Linked DNA regions of Styela clava. The protein of the gene in region 2 interacts with the protein of the main gene of each other region in a pairwise test. Links are inferred from orthologs where the notes say so. Each region holds a gene or a part of one and is shown on either strand. Other genes may lie near its edges.

The links.
Region 1: the proteins of U3 small nucleolar RNA-associated protein 25 homolog (region 2) and uncharacterized protein LOC120331579 interact in binary tests that used the Homo sapiens proteins (3 or more experiments, as listed by UniProt). The link is inferred for Styela clava from reciprocal best matches to the Homo sapiens genes UTP25 and MIPOL1.

The regions. Positions count from the first base shown.
Region 1 is NC_135255.1:13,078,543-13,086,940, forward strand, and holds the start of uncharacterized protein LOC120331579, read right to left. Parts: upstream 3,644-8,398; 5' UTR 1,010-3,643; coding exon 888-1,009; intron 774-887; coding exon 685-773; intron 436-684; coding exon 172-435; intron 1-171. Other genes in the region: unconventional myosin-Id-like, read left to right, coding at 4,269-7,292.
Region 2 is NC_135253.1:6,533,236-6,541,147, forward strand, and holds U3 small nucleolar RNA-associated protein 25 homolog, read left to right. Parts: upstream 1-4,513; 5' UTR 4,514-4,584; coding exon 4,585-6,699; 3' UTR 6,700-7,141; downstream 7,142-7,912. Other genes in the region: 18S rRNA (guanine-N(7))-methyltransferase-like, read left to right, coding at 7,142-7,912. UniProt on the Homo sapiens protein: Component of the ribosomal small subunit processome for the biogenesis of ribosomes, functions in pre-ribosomal RNA (pre-rRNA) processing. Essential for embryonic development in part through the regulation of p53 pathway.

The DNA of each region.
Region 1 (8,398 bases), on a different chromosome or scaffold from region 2:
GTTTCGGTAAATCAGAAAATTTTTTCAAAAACGTTAACACAATGTGTCCCAAAATGTTTATGACGATTTATTTTCACACTTTTGCTCTGAACAAGGCTGATTGGGAAATAACCTGTTCTTATACATAAAGTGCACAAGAAAAACTCCCACGGCGATTGTATATTGAAATACCTGAATTGTCTTCTGCTAAAACATTTCTCAGGCAACCCCATCTTTCATTCATTTCATCCTCGTTTGATTTATTGGAATGACTTTCATTAGTTTTATTGTTTTCTACAGGTGTTGAAAATTGATTGATGGATTTGGCAGGTGCAGGTTTACTTTGACTCTGATATGTTTCAAATGGTTTCGTTGCTGCAGCGGCATAACTCAGTGATGCTGATGAACGCAGAGATGTCAGAATGCTGTCATCTATGGTATTTTCCTCAGAATAGTCTTAAAATAATAATTGGTTCACAATCAAAAACAAAAATTATTGCTTAACATTTTGTGTTAGAAAATTTCATTTACATACTGTGCAGCAAAATAATAAATATACAATACATGGCAAAAACAGATGTAATGAATTAGCACAGTGCAATCTTGATATTGAAAGTTGTGTGTCCATGATTACCAACTAAACAATTTTCCTATAACAATTGATTTTGTCACAAAATCTTTTGCAATGAATTACGACAGCATTACCTTCCAAATATTTTGATATGTCGTCATCATTCAAGTCTGAACTTTTGCTATTGTGATGTCCGTAGTCATGGTCTTTCTCTAATGCTTTCCTGAATAACAAATATTGGTATATTAATTACATCCATTGATCACAATATTTAATAGCTTAATACGACTTTATAAAAATTAGACTATTATTTCTATTACTTTATCTAAAACTATACCTTTCCAGGCTGTCAAGTTCCTTTTGCAACTGGATTAACTTGTCATCAGCATTTACAACAGCATCTCTTAAATCTGACAAAACTTTATCAGCATGACCACTGTAATCTTCAATACCCTCCATCAATCTGATTTTTAACCATCAAATCAAGTGACAGGCAAATTACAAAATTAATTGCATTTTACCAAACCAGATGTTAGAAATTATGAGCTGCTAAAAAATCAAAAGACCAGCAGAGGTTTAGTCCACCTAAACATCAAATATCTATTCTAGCAGATGCGATGATCAAGTTATATATATTTTTAGTGCTATTGCTGTAATTCATTCCTTTCTTAAATATTCTGTTTCATTCATTTCCCATCGCTTTAAAAACCAAATACCTTATAAACAAAATATGTTTACTTTGGCATATTACCGTAATTTGTATGTCGATTATGGGCATCACCGTGTTTCTGTAAAATTTCGTCAAAAATAGTAAGCTTACTCTAATATTTTAAAGGAAATAGAATTCCCAAACGCAGAAACAATATTTAATTATAAGTGCAACAGTGAAAAATAATAAATAGTTTTGGGTGCATTGCAAAGGAATTCGGCGTTTGAAGTGATCTTTTGGGCAGTAAGTTTCTGATAATAGTGGTCTTGTATTACGTATATTAAATTAGCATTTTGATAAAGCTGAAAAAGTCATAACGGTAATTGGCCCTTCAAAATAGCTTTCTTCAAGCAGATTCCTGGCAGTATTTTACGTACTTCATTTAATTTGTGAACTATTATATAACGGAAATAACACTCTGAATAAATAATAACGTAATAAATATGACACTGTATAACTTTACGACCCGATTTCATCTGTTTCTCCAAAGCGATTGTTTCGCACATGCTCACGCTGAAAGCAATAATCCCTCTGTATTGATCACTGATCTCTCACGAAACTGATCCTGTGAATAGCGTTGTTTGTTGCCTGGCGATATCACATTGCGTCGACGAAAAGGAGCCGGCCATGGGAAAACAGCTGACAATTTCAATCGTTTATTATTACTGCTAAATGTCATGTAGCAATAAAGACCTATCTAACTACTCGTATATCAAAGAGAAAATTTGATATAATAATCTGTAGATAGGTCGGGCAATGGTGATAAATTTATCGCTATCAAATGAGGCCATAATATATGATCTATGTTCTCTAATTTGGTGGTTTTATAGAGCATAAATGTATATTTTAGGTCCGAACGTTTTTGTACCTTTAGCCGTTTACAATATAAAATCTTGCTGATGTGATGTGAAATGAAAATTTCATTTATATCTCGCGGGATAAGACAGATATGTTTCAATTCTTTTATTTCAATTTTATTGCCTTATATGCACATATTTTATAATTTATATGCTCGAATATCATGCTCGAGAAATGCAGCGCAGAATCTCGCGTGGTGTCACCATTTACTTCCTAGCTGTTCTTAACGGCCTTGCGTGATCTATCGCAAATATTGGAAGTTTGCGTAACTGAGTGTATGTGCAAATACGTCATGTGCCGGCTGCGCGTTACGCATTACGTCACCTAAAGGCGGCGGATGTTATGAATTATGAAGTAGGCGTGATGGCAATGCGCGGCGCCCGAGGTGACCTATTGAAATAACAGTATACACTATGCCTGGGCTTTGTAACGTTGTATTCATTACCTGCGAATAGATTATTGTAGTCTATATAATTTCGACTCGATGCGTTGTTGTTCTAGTATTATGTCATCCTTTGATGCGCCTAAATTAGTTTAAAATTGCCGCTCTAGGCAACAGCGACAAAGCGCAGATCAGCTCAGTAATTCACGTCGTGTTTGCCGAGTTGGGCGTAGTCATTGCGATACGGTACCGGTAACAAGTCCAGGGATAGACCAGGTTTATTATCAGTTGTGCTCACCCATATTTTTATGTTTAAATAATCTAGAAATAATTAATACATAAAAAGGGTCAGAAATATAAATTTAAGCTGTCTTATATTAGACTTTCAGACTTTATTATTTTGTTATTTTTAATGCTGTAATGTTACCGTAAGTTAGTAATTTGGAAAGTTCAGAAAGACCCAATTTGAAGTTTATATTTTTTTGGAATTCGGAGATGACATAGTAAGTTATATCAAGGATACTGGTACTAGTCATAGGTCAGTAGGTAGTCTACCATAGCAATATGAAAATGTCATTGAGTGATCTTTGTGTGTTGTTTTGTAACTTGTTCCATGAAAAGACTGCTTGCACAGTACATGTTTACAAAGCACATTGATTTTGATTCTGCTAAAGTTTGAAAGTCGGGGCATTTATCTTCACGGAATGCTCTTATCATATTTCATTTCTTGTTGTTTACTTTACCGCTGCCTTTATTTTTGTTGTTTATCGTCCAGTATCACATATTGTACACCGCTTGTTTGTTTTTGTGCTCTACTCTTATCATTATTTTCTTGTATACAATATAGTAGAAATAGTAGCGCATGTTCAAACCTCATACCCAAGTGTTAATGCCCGAATTATCGAGTGGAAGTGGTGACTCCTCTACGAACCATGGGCCGGGGCCACGGCCCATCGAAATGGGCCTCGGCCCATCAGGCTATGGGCCACGGCCCATCAAGTTGTGTAAAGGGATAAAATAATAAAGACTAATAAATATGTAAATCCTACCCACTCCCTGAACTCATAATAGAACTATTATGTCTGAATGTGAAAAATCTGAACAAAATTTTGTCCTAACCCTAACCTGGCACACATACTTCCGTGTATCCTTTTCTGTAGCTTGGTATTTTGCTTTATTTTTATGAAAAGGCTTATCGCAAGTAAAAGGTTTGGTGGCATGCTGCAATTTTTTTTTGGTTCCAATATTGACAATTTTGTAAAAATTGAAAATTTTGGTAAGATAATTGAATTTTTTCTGATGGGCCGTAGAGGGGTCACCACCCCTGTAGGAATTAGCTTTCATTCATTTTTTTCAATTTACTTTAATGTGTTATTTTCTGTTTGGGGTGGTACGTGCATCAGCATGTTTTGAATCGTTTGTAGATTTTGCCTACCTTCCTGATTTTCTGTATATTTGTTTGTTTTGCCCCGTATTGCTTCTATGTTTTGTTGTAAGGGAAATTCGAAATAAAGTCATTTGTTGGACGATGTAGGTTTTGGCACAGCAGCATAGTGCGCTAGTGTATGTACTGAAAAAAGTGCATTTAAAAAAGGAAGAAAAATCCTGTAACTCGTCCTTAATTAGTTTTAGGTTCGCTAGCAATGACATAGTAATGTAATTGACAAATATATATTTCTTAGATTAATATTTAAGACTACATATTTATATTTCATTTTTATTTGGGAACCTGTATCAATATCTCCTGCTTTTTGGAATCTCTCAGCACCATGAGTTTTGAGGGACCAGAATTCGGGAAAGGAGACTTTGTTCTCCTGGACGATTTAACCATCGAAGAGTTCATGAAAAATCTCCAACTACGATTTGAAAAATGTCGTATTTATACTTATATTGGAGAAGTGGTTGTGTCAGTGAATCCATACAAATCTATGAATATTTACTCCCCAGAAACAGTGAGAGAATACAAAGACAAGGAATTTTGGGAACGGCCTCCTCATATTTATGCTCTCGCAGATGCTGCTTATCGCACTATGAAGAGATATCTAAAAGATACATGCATTGTGATTTCTGGTGAATCTGGAGCTGGCAAGACAGAGGCATCTAAAATTATAATGAATTACATTACTTCTATCACAAATGCATCAGCTCGTCATGAAATTGAACGAGTTACTGGGGTCCTGCTAAAATCCAATGTTGTTTTGGAATCGTTTGGTAATGCCAAGACAAATAGAAATGATAATTCTTCACGTTTTGGAAAATATATGGATATCAACTTTGATTTTAAAGGTGATCCTATTGGTGGACACATCAATAATTATCTTTTGGAAAAATCAAGAGTTGTTCATCAACAAATTGGAGAAAGGAATTTCCATTCTTTCTATCAACTTCTAGCAGGTGCAAGTGAGCAACTGATTAAAGAACTGCATTTAACAAGAGACCCATCGAAATATACTTACACTAACCAAGGTCAATCGAATAGTGTGAGAAACGTTGATGACAAGAAAACACACAAAGAGGTTGCTGCAGCATTGAAAGCTGTTGGTTTCAAAGATGATGAACAAAAAACACTTTTCAAAATTGTTGCTGCAGTTTTATTCTTAGGAAACATTGAATTTGGAATGTCTGGTGAAAATGTGATTGTCAAAGACCGCAATTCAATTAAAGCAATCGCCAATTTGCTAAGTGTAAGTGAAAAAGAATTGGAAGACAGCTTACAGAGTCGTGTTGTTGCAGCAAGAGGAGAAGTCATTGCTAAGCTTCATGACATGACAGATGCTAATCATGGTAGAGACGCTTTTGCAAAAGCAATGTATGAACGAATGTTTTCATTTATTGTGGGCCGCATCAATTCAATCCTTGAAGTAAAACAAGATATTGTAAGATATGGTAAAAGTACACTGATTGGGGTTCTTGACATATACGGCTTTGAGATCTTTGACAACAATAGTTTTGAACAGTTTTGCATTAATTATTGTAATGAAAAATTGCAACAACTTTTCATTGAGCTCGTGTTGAAACAGGAACAAGAAGAATATTACAGTGAAGGTATAACATGGCAAAATGTTGAATATTTCAACAATCAAATTATTTGCGACTTGGTTGAGCAACCCCATAAAGGTATTATTGCCATCTGTGACGAAGCTTGCCTCAATGTAGGAAAAGTCACTGATTCAATGTTTCTAGAAGCAATGGACAACAAGTTAAAAGATCATGCTCACTTCACGAGCAGACGAAAAGATGCAAAAAATAAAAATCTGACTCATGATCAAGATTTTCAGATTCTTCATTACGCAGGAGATGTAAAGTACAGTGTTGAAAATTTCTTGGACAAAAATAAAGATCAGCTCTTCCAAGATTTCAAAAGATTGCTGTACAATAGCAAGAATCCCACCATAAAAGAAATGTGGCCTGAAGGTGCACAAAGCATCAAAGAAGTAACAAAAAGGCCTCAAACAGCTGGTACCCTATTCAAAAATTCGATGATTGCTCTTGTACAGAAGCTGAATTCGAAAGAACCTTATTACGTTCGTTGTGTCAAACCGAATGAAGTGAAATCGCCAGTGCAGTTCAATTATGATAGATGCAAGCATCAAGTATTATATCTTGGATTGATGGAAAATGTTCGTGTTCGAAGAGCTGGTTATGCAAACAGACAGCCATACAGAAGGTTTCTACAAAGATATAAAATGCTGTCTTCTTTCACGTGGCCGAATCATCAATGTGAAACTGACAATGAAGCAGTACAAGCTCTAATAACTGACATTGAAATTGATGATGATATTGCGTATGGAAAAACAAAAGTTTTCATTCGAACCCCTCAGACCCTCGTCAACTTGGAAGAAAGAAGAGCGATGTTAATTCCACAGCTTGTCATTCTCCTACAGAAAATGTGGAGAGGTGGAATCGCTCGTCTAAGGTATAAGCGTACTGTTGCTACATACAGAATCATGAGAAGATACAAATTATACAAAATGCGATGCTATTTGCTGGAAATGTCTCAGAAGTTTCAAGGTGTTCTCAAAAAGCCAGATCTTGGGAAGGGGATTGTCTGGACTCATCCACCTGCTGGCTTAGAAGAGCTTGTTGACCACATGAAACTAATCCACAAAAAATGGAGAGCCGGCAAAATTGTCAAAAGGATTCCGCGATCTGAATGGCCAGCAGTTGAACTTCGTTGTGCAGCTTATGAAGCTTTACATGGAAAACGTACCAACTGGCTACGAAAAAGGAAATGGGAAGGTAACTATCTGGCATCCCAAACTGAAAATCAATCGTTAGCTGCTGTGTTTTCGGCAAAGACAAATCAACTCAACTCAAAGTTTCACTTTGGAGAAATCAAGTTTTCTTCTCATGTTCGTAAGGTTAACAGAAAAAATAAATGTGAAGACAGAGCCCTGCTTGTAACAGAGAAATTCATCTTCAAATTGGATCCAGGTAAATCATACAAACCAATGAATCGAATCCCGGTGGATAAAGTCACAGGAGTTAGTGTGTCTAATGGGACTGATCAACTTTTAATCATCCATGTTGATGGCTCAGATGATTTGGTTCTTTGTATTCAGAAGACAAATCCTGAATATGACGATCGTGCTCCAGAAGCGGTAGGAGTTTTGGTCAAGCTTGTAAATGGACATTTGAGAAAGCAGTTACCAGTCCATGTAGGATCCCAAATTCAATGTAAACTTGGTGGGAAAACCAAAACAATATCTATTGATGGTAAACCTGGACCTACTCATCCCAATTTTAGGAAAGTGAATAATGCTTTATTTACTCTGTCTGCATCAACACAATGAGAGGACTTTGGAATGTTGTGATTCAGCCATAGCTGTTACAATGTATTGATCAGGTATTCACAAACTGTTTTCAAAAGCTTGTAAGCATAAAATGCATGCATGAAGAGTAAAGAATATGAACAATATGGCAGCCCATGCTGTTAATCGAAAACATCATATATTGTATGTCTTCATAGAGATATTTGTCGACTTTATATCAGAGCCTAGTTAAATTTGGTACCATTTTCACAAGGGTAGACGATGAAAGTTTTGAATTCCTTGTTTAAAATACTGAAAGAATTGAAGGGGCGATACTTTTCTACTTCATATTTGTTTGTTTTTTGATGAAATATAACTGGCCATTTTGATGACGATATCTCCTAATTAGCATTTTATAGAATAATGTATGTAGGTTTTTTTAATTGTTGTATCATATATTGTCTAATGTCTTCATAAAGATATTTGTTGACTTTATATCAGAACCTAATTATTAAATTTGTTACCATTTACACAAGGGTAGCTTCGAATTCTTTGTTTAAAATACTATAAGAATTGAAGAAATGATACTTTTCTACTTCATATTTCTTTGATTTTTGATGAAATATAACTGACCATTTTGCTGACTATATTTCTTAATTAACATTTTATAGAATAATGTATCTAGGTTATTTTAATTATGTTTTAATTTTAACGTGTCTAATTTCAAGAACTTTTTACATATGTGTGTTATTAATTTCTATCCTGAATGTATGCATTGCACTCTAAATTTCAAATTTTGTATATACTATGGATGTTTCATTAACTTTAATAATATCTAGCCAATGGTTGATCATGTTTCTATTAAATGCTTCTAATTATGCAGTATAAGTATTTTGCCAATGTATAAATTCGTATTCCAGTATTTCTGGGCCAAATAATTGATTCTTCAAGTCACTTCATGACACATTCCTCTGGTATACTGATGACTAGCTATGCCGCGCACGATTATGTAATATTTCATGATTCATCACCAAAAAAGGAATTAATAATTTTATGCATTTCATCATAAAACGATTGAATCAAAATAATATGTTGCAAATAGTTTGAATATGGAAAGAGAACAACAGCTGAAATTGACTTGACGGATT
Region 2 (7,912 bases):
TTTGTTAATTAATGATATTAGTTATTTAGATATTTGATTACAAACCCCCTTCTTGTACTTTGAAAGATCCCTTTCAGTAGTCATTGAAATTGACCTCCATATTCATATTGTGTTTCAATTGTTTTTCATAAACCAAAGTTAATCCTATCTTCGTAAATCCAATATTTTAATTTTTTATTTTTTTCACTTATATTCCTTTTCATTTACCATAATAATTATCCAAATACGCTCATTGGGTATAACTACCACAATTTGTTCACCATATTAGTAATTCTCCAGACCCCTAGTAATTAATATGCATGGATCAATGATCATATGAGCGTGATAACTAACTTAAATCAATAGCCCCTTGTAATTGTGCTTTTTACAATTATTTAAGTGTATATTACTCTATAATTAGCCGTTACACTCATAGTCATCCATTACCTGGGAATCTTATGCATAACAGTGAATTTGGGGGGAGCTGACTTGGATGACCGTATGGTCGTATCGCTCCCTCCAGTCTTTACCATAAACAGTGTTTATTTATTTGTATTTATGCTTTCATATTTATATTTGTTGTGGTTGACGAATCAATAAATCTCTCTCGCTCAGACACTTTCGTCACCCTGACAGATTTTCAGTCGTGGTTGTAAAAAATACTTCGTTTTTGCGATTCTGAATGCTATTCGTTAGTTTTTGGTTGTGTTTGGGAAATTTAAGTATCAATCAAATAAGTCAATCATCATTTGCCTCTTTAGGAGTTGTAGTTTTAATAGTAGTAATGAAAAATTAGTCTAAGAAATAGCTGTGACAAAATAGGCTAAAATTTTCTACCGGGAGGCAACGTTTTCTGCGAAAGATGCACTCGCCGAAACTGTTTACGTCTTCGTGCTAAAATGAACGTCGAATGTGCATTTTGCGCTAACAGTACTGTAATCCCTCGCGTATTGCTCCAATTTCACAAGGCACACTAATTTTTGTACTGCTTAAATGCGGATATTCATGTAGGTAAGTTACAAAAAAAAAATAAAGTTCATCCGATTTGAATGAAAACTGCGCCAGTGGATAGATCTGAGTGAAAATAAGAAAACAATATCCAGTTTATAAAAAGCTTTTTTAATAAGAACTGTAATAAATATGAAAAAAACACATATCAATCACTAACCTTTCAATCTGCGCCACATCTATGGAATATTGAGACTATTTCATGATTTTATTCTGGCAACGGTCTTGACACCGCCGAAAGTTCGTCGCAAATAAACGCTGGAGTTGTGCATGATGTTTGACGGTGGTTCATTATGGGTAAAATTTAACGATGTTCTGGTTGTACAAACTCCATAAAAATTGGTAAGTATCATGTATCAAGTCAGGAAAGAAATACACACGTCCACATAATTTTTATTGGTGTCCATAGACAATATCATTAATTTGCACCACGTATAACTTGAGCGTAATTTTAAAAGCTCCGAATGTTGGGAAATTTATGCTCTAATGAATAAAAATCAAATACCAGATAATAGTTGTTTATTTTATCTAAATTATGTCGAAATTTCATGGAATTCCATGCTACAGCAGGCAGTCCGTAGTCGTGCAACGTTTTGATAACAGCTAAACTCAGGGTTGTCGTCTATATATAGAAATCTTGTATATTTGTTTTCCTAGGATGTTCTCGATCTATATTCTGCGATATATATAGAATTTAATATTCAAGTCTTCAGAAATGTAGAATATATATTGTTGAATAGATTTCCCAATTTTTGTGAATTTATTGTATTGCATTGACAAAAATATTTGTCCGGCCCGTTTCAACACAGTTTGAGTCATACCCGACCCGCGGTCAAAAAAGTTTGGTGCCCCCTGATCTAGTACATAGGTTCTTAAAGTGCTCCGTACGAAGCCCCAGGGCTCCGCGAGAAAAACCCAAAGGCTCCGCGAGAAAAACCCAAAGGCTCCGCGAGCTATTCGATTACTCCTCAAAATACTGACTCAAAATTTTGTAACTGTTCAAAGAAGCAATAACAGCTTTGATAAAATCTGACAACGATATAGCTTCGAAATATGGTAAAGAGGCGGAATTAAAAAATGACATTATTTATAAGCAGGAGCGCAGCCAGGATTCTTAAGAGGGAGGTGGTTCAAAATTGGAATCGGAAATTTCCGCGCAACATTCTTCGCGATTAAAAAAACGGATAACAAGATTTCTGTTGCGTAAAATATTCAATTCATGACCGATTCGAGCATTTAACGTGTCTCGTCGTTATATAATGTAATTGTGCTCATCATTACTCACGTTTGATTCGAGATTACCATTAGGATTGCTAAAAGGAAAAAATACTATTCTAAAATAACATAAAATATGTGATAAACTGCCAACTATATATAAATTGGAGTCGTATTTTTGCGATCTTGGGATTTGTCAAACTTGATTTGTTCTTTTGCACTTGAGATTATTTTTAAGCAAGATATCGCCGTTTAAAAAATCACAATGTCTGGGCAAAATACGAACAATTGAAATTTATTTTATTGCATTCGGCTCCGTCGGTAGTTTCAGAATGGGAAAAAAGGTACATCGAGCGCACAATTGACTGTGTTTCGATTCCGCAGGTACTACGATGAAAACCTAACATAACACCAAATTTTGAGATTTACAATGTCTATAAAAGCGTTTTCAATCTGAGGTGAGTCTGCTGAAACCAAACGTGTGATCTTCCATTTAAAGTTTCAGTTTTATTATTTTAGAATGCCGTTTTTCTATCAAGAAATTTGAGTTGCGGATTTATCTCTTTATTATTTTTAGCATTCCGTCGCCGATGACTACAATATGGTAACATGTTTTCACATTGAACTCCCCACGAGAACAAAAAAGCAATTAACGTCGTCATTGTGTAACAATACATGTATATGCCGAGGAAAATTTTTGATTTAGGGAGAATAAACACCGGCGTAAAGACGTTTGAAACTGACGAAAAAATCGGCGATTGTAACAAAATGAAATTGCGCACATTATTAGCGGCCTTTTAAGTCTTCCAAAAATGTCAAAAGGGAAAAGATTCGACCCCTAATTTATTAATATGTTTGTCAAGTGTCAAATTTACAGCTTTAGTATAAAATTTAAATTTATTTATGACTAGTGAAGTAAAGTACTTTTACCTTGCTCAGGAATATTAATCTAAAAGTAACAATTTTAACATTTATTTTGGGGCTCCGCGAATAATATTCAACCTTTCAAGTGCTCCGCAACACCAAGAGTTTGAGAACTCCTGATCTAGTAAACTCCACTTTTTTCTATGTACCGTATGTGAAATTGTGAAGTTTGCCAGATGTCCACGCGCGCCTTCTGTGTTTGTTTTTCCAGCATGTGCAACGCAGTGATATAGCGCATAGCGTACCGTAGCAGATGCTGTAGATTCGTAGATTTGCTGGTTGTGTGAGTGGGCTGCATGCACCGGTATGGTTTGGTCATAAATGAACAAGTTCAAAGTTAGTGCCATAACACCGGTATTCTGATCAGTGCCCAAATACAGAAATACCGGTACTGCGACGATTCCCAAATGCAGAAATGCGTGAGTACAGGTACCCATAGTTTGAATGGAGCACGTTTAACAACAAACTACGGACTGAACTGCGAAAGCCATATGGTTATCTTTTGTCGAGACCCATTCATTTATTTTTATCTTTTGCTGCCATGCAGCCATGAGTGGTAACTGACTCAGATGACCGTAAATGGTCGTATCCGTATTTTGTTATTATTATGTGTTTTCTGGTTGATTCTTTCTCTCTATATCAGGGTCGTCCAACCCGTGGCCTGCGGGCCACATGTGGCCCGTCGAGGAGTTTTGAGTGGCCCGCGCTGTATTTTCGAAATAAAAAAAAATTGAGTAAAACTTCTATTTTTCGAGTGATGTAGTTAATATGAAGATTTGATACAAACAATTTGTTTATTTTCCTGAAATGCGCTCTGCTAGCCCATCCCCAACTGGAAGAAATCGATACATAAATAGTAGCTTACACACTTGGGCAGAATGGCAGTTTTAATGACCTCATATTTGGCAGCACGTACTCGTACAAGCAAGTTTTTTCACAGATAAACCATGTCAAATTCCCTCTGAGATCACTAATTTCTGACAGTCATATGGAAAATTGGCTTCGCATTGCTACATCGTCCTTTTCAGTGAAAAACAGTGCCAAACTTCACACTAAAATGTCTACGTGTAGAAAAAACTTTGTTGACTTTACTGTATCTTCGTTTTCTTCATTGTTCTTATTATTGAGAAAGTTTGGTGCGAGGGTTTTGTTTGTTTTTTTATAAATTTTTGGTCAGTGTAGCAAAACTAGAATATAATTACTATGTTAAGTGGCCCGCGCAATTATTAGTAAACTAAATATGGCCCGTGGGCCAAAAAGGTTGGCCGACTCTGCTCTATATATAGTCTATATACCCCTGTACCCTAACCTATGTAGTGTTACCTACGTAACATGTGGATTTTGTTGTTATATTAGTATGCTGAATCACGGACTGTTATTATGTAATCCTACCATTAACACCAAATTTAATGAGTGATTTTTCCATGGCATGTAGATATTAAATGTTTTAAGCCTAAAATGTCAGAATCTTCATCAGAGGATGAATCTTCACATCCATATGTGGATTTGATTTCTTTGGTTAAAACGAATAATCACCAAGAAGAAATAGAAACTGATTCTGAAGATGACAATGTTATCCCTAAAAGGCAGAAGTTAGAAGAAGGAATCCTTGAAAAGAAATCATCAAGCCAGCCACAGGATGACAGTTCTAATGAATCTGAGGACAACGAAGATGTAACTGATGTTCTTATGGAAAACAGTGATTCTGAAAATGAAGATGACAATAACGACTCTGCTGAAATATTGATATTTGGTGAGTCTGATGATGAAGACAATTTTGATAAATCTAAGAATCTCAGTTGTGATTATTACAAACAACATCTTGAGACAAATATTGATTATTTTGTACAACATATAGAAAAGAACAAACCTCAAAGGAGAGATACTTTGGAATGGCCCATGCTAGGGAAGATTCAGTTTATGAATCGATCTGAAGATCCAGCAACAAATGAATTTCTTCCCAAAGTTCCAATCAAGAAAAACACAAACATTGAAACTTATAGACAAACATATCATATCAGAAAAATTGTAATTGATAATTGGATGCAATTTGATAAAAGAAATAAAACAAAGTCGAAAAAAGATAAACACAATGATTTGTTTAACTTGCAGCAAAAAGAGCTATTCACGCTATTGAGTTCATATGTTGATGTGTCTTATACAGATACAAATCTTCTTAATACGTCATCATCTATTCAAGGTGTATATTGTTTTCATGCTGTAAATCATGTCATTAGATCTCGTGCCAAAGTATTACTCAACACATCCAGATTAAGGAAAATGACTCCGGAACAACGTGAACAATCTGAATATCGAGACCAAGGTATCACAAGACCAAAAGTTTTAATCTTAGTTCCTTTCAAGGAAACTGCATTGAGAGTGATTAATATCATGTTGGAATTATTCAAGCAAGGCGATAAATTTGAAGTCAGTTATAAGAAAAGATTTCGCGATGAATTTAGCCAGAGTGAAGATGATATCGATGGAGGTTTTTCAAAAAAGCCGGAAGATTATCAATGCTTATTTGCTGGAAATACAGATGAACATTTTCGAATTGGAATAGCACTGTTACGAAACTCAGTTCGCCTTTACTCACCATTCTATTCCTCTGATATTATTGTGGCATCACCACTTGGACTCAGAACAGTAATTGGTTCTGAAGGAGAAAAACACCATGAACATGATTTCTTGTCATCTATTGAACTTGTTATTATGGACCAAACTGATGTGTTCTTAATGCAGAATTGGGAACATGTTTTACATATATTTGAGCATTTGAATATTACACCAAAAGATTCACATGGTGTAGACTTTTCAAGAGTTAGAAATTTTTCGTTGGATGGTAGAAACAAATTTTACAGACAAACTGTAGTAATATCGAATGTACACTTGCCACAGATATCATCTATCTTTACTAAATGGTGTTGCAACTATAAGGGCTTTGTTAAAACAGAGAATATTCCAGAAAAGGGTAATATATGTGCTATTGCTAAGCAACTTCCACAAGTATTCCACAAGCTTTCCGCACCAAGTTTGGTCGAGTCTTCAGAAGCACGCTTTCGTTTCTTTGTTGATAAATTATATAAGCAGTACAAGGACCCAAGCATGTCACATACCCTGATTTATGTACCACAATATTTTGATTTTGTCCGTCTTCGTAATTTTATGAGAAAACAAAAAAAAGAGGGGTCTGGACCCATATTTGGTCATATAAATGACTACAGCACACCATCCGCTGCTAACAAGACCAAACGTCGGTTTTATACGGGAAAATGCCCATTAATGCTTTATACTGAAAGATTTCATTTTTATAACAGGGCAAGAATTCGGGGAATGCGGCATCTTATTTTTTATGAATTGCCAACTTATCCTTTGTTCTATGTAGAATTGTGTAACATGGTGAGAGATTCACACCAAGGAGATGGAGTTACTTCATCTAGTTCAGTAAATGTTATGTATACAAAATTCGATACCCAAAAACTTGCTTCCACAGTTGGAATGTCCCGTTGTCGTCAATTGCAAACTTCAACAAGAACTGTTCATATGTTTGTTGCTGGGACAAATGACGATTAATATATAATTAATTATGTTGGCAATTTGTTGATTTTCCAATAATGGGCTATATTCAATGTGTTTTTTGACTCTCTTTCTCCCAAAGTTATGAAATTTTGTGTTATTTGGTGCCTTCCACACCTTCAATGAAGCCTCTTACTCATGTCCCTAGTTGGAACACGGTTTCATCCAAGCTATCCAACATCACCCGCTACTTAATTCTCAAGTCACATTGAGCATATACATTTTATTCCTGTCTGGGGAGTATATCAATGTGTTGGCTGGTGTAATAATTAAATAAAACCTTATGACCGTTGATTTTTGTGAATAAAGGCTAAAGCCACTTGTCTTAAGCAAATATTCATCAACTTAATAGGCCATATCATCTATGAGAATATATGTCATAAAATGTGTATAGAAGTGTCAATACTTAAAGTTAAACTTGGATGGACCTAATTCATTCATGGGATTCAGTAATTTCATATTTTCTGTTTTATTTAGATTTCATATATTTAATGTAAATATAAAAATGTCATCTCACAAAAGGCCTGAACTTCAGGCTCCTCCCGAGATATTTTACAATGAAAATGAGGCACAAAAATATACTACAAACTCAAGAATGATGGAGATCCAGGCAAAGATGACAGAACGTGCTCTGGAGTTACTCAATTTGCCAGAGGATAGTTCATGTTTTATTTTAGATGTTGGATGTGGTTCTGGATTAAGTGGGGAAACTATAACAGAAATGGGACATTGTTGGATTGGTTTTGATATCAGTACAGCAATGCTCAATGTTGCTGTCGAACGTGAAGTGGAAGGTGATATAATAAATGCCGATGCTGGTGAAGGCTTGTTTTTTAAACCTGGAACATTTGATGGTGTAATCAGTATATCAGCGATTCAGTGGTTATGTTATTCAAATGTAAAATCCCATAATCCTCCCAAAAGGCTTTATAATTTTTTCTCCACTTTATATTCTGCTATGAGACAAGGTAGCAGAGCAGTGTTTCAATTATACCCAGAAAACCCCAGTCAACTGGAACTTATTACAACACAAGCAACGAGAGCTGGGTTTAGTGGTGGTGTTATCATTGACTATCCTAACAGCACAAAAGCGAAGAAAATATTTTTGTGCTTATTTTGTGGAGTTCCCACTCCTGAAATGCCATCAGCATTGGGTACTGGGGATGCTTCTAATACGCAAATACACTATAACCAACAAAGAATTTCGTAC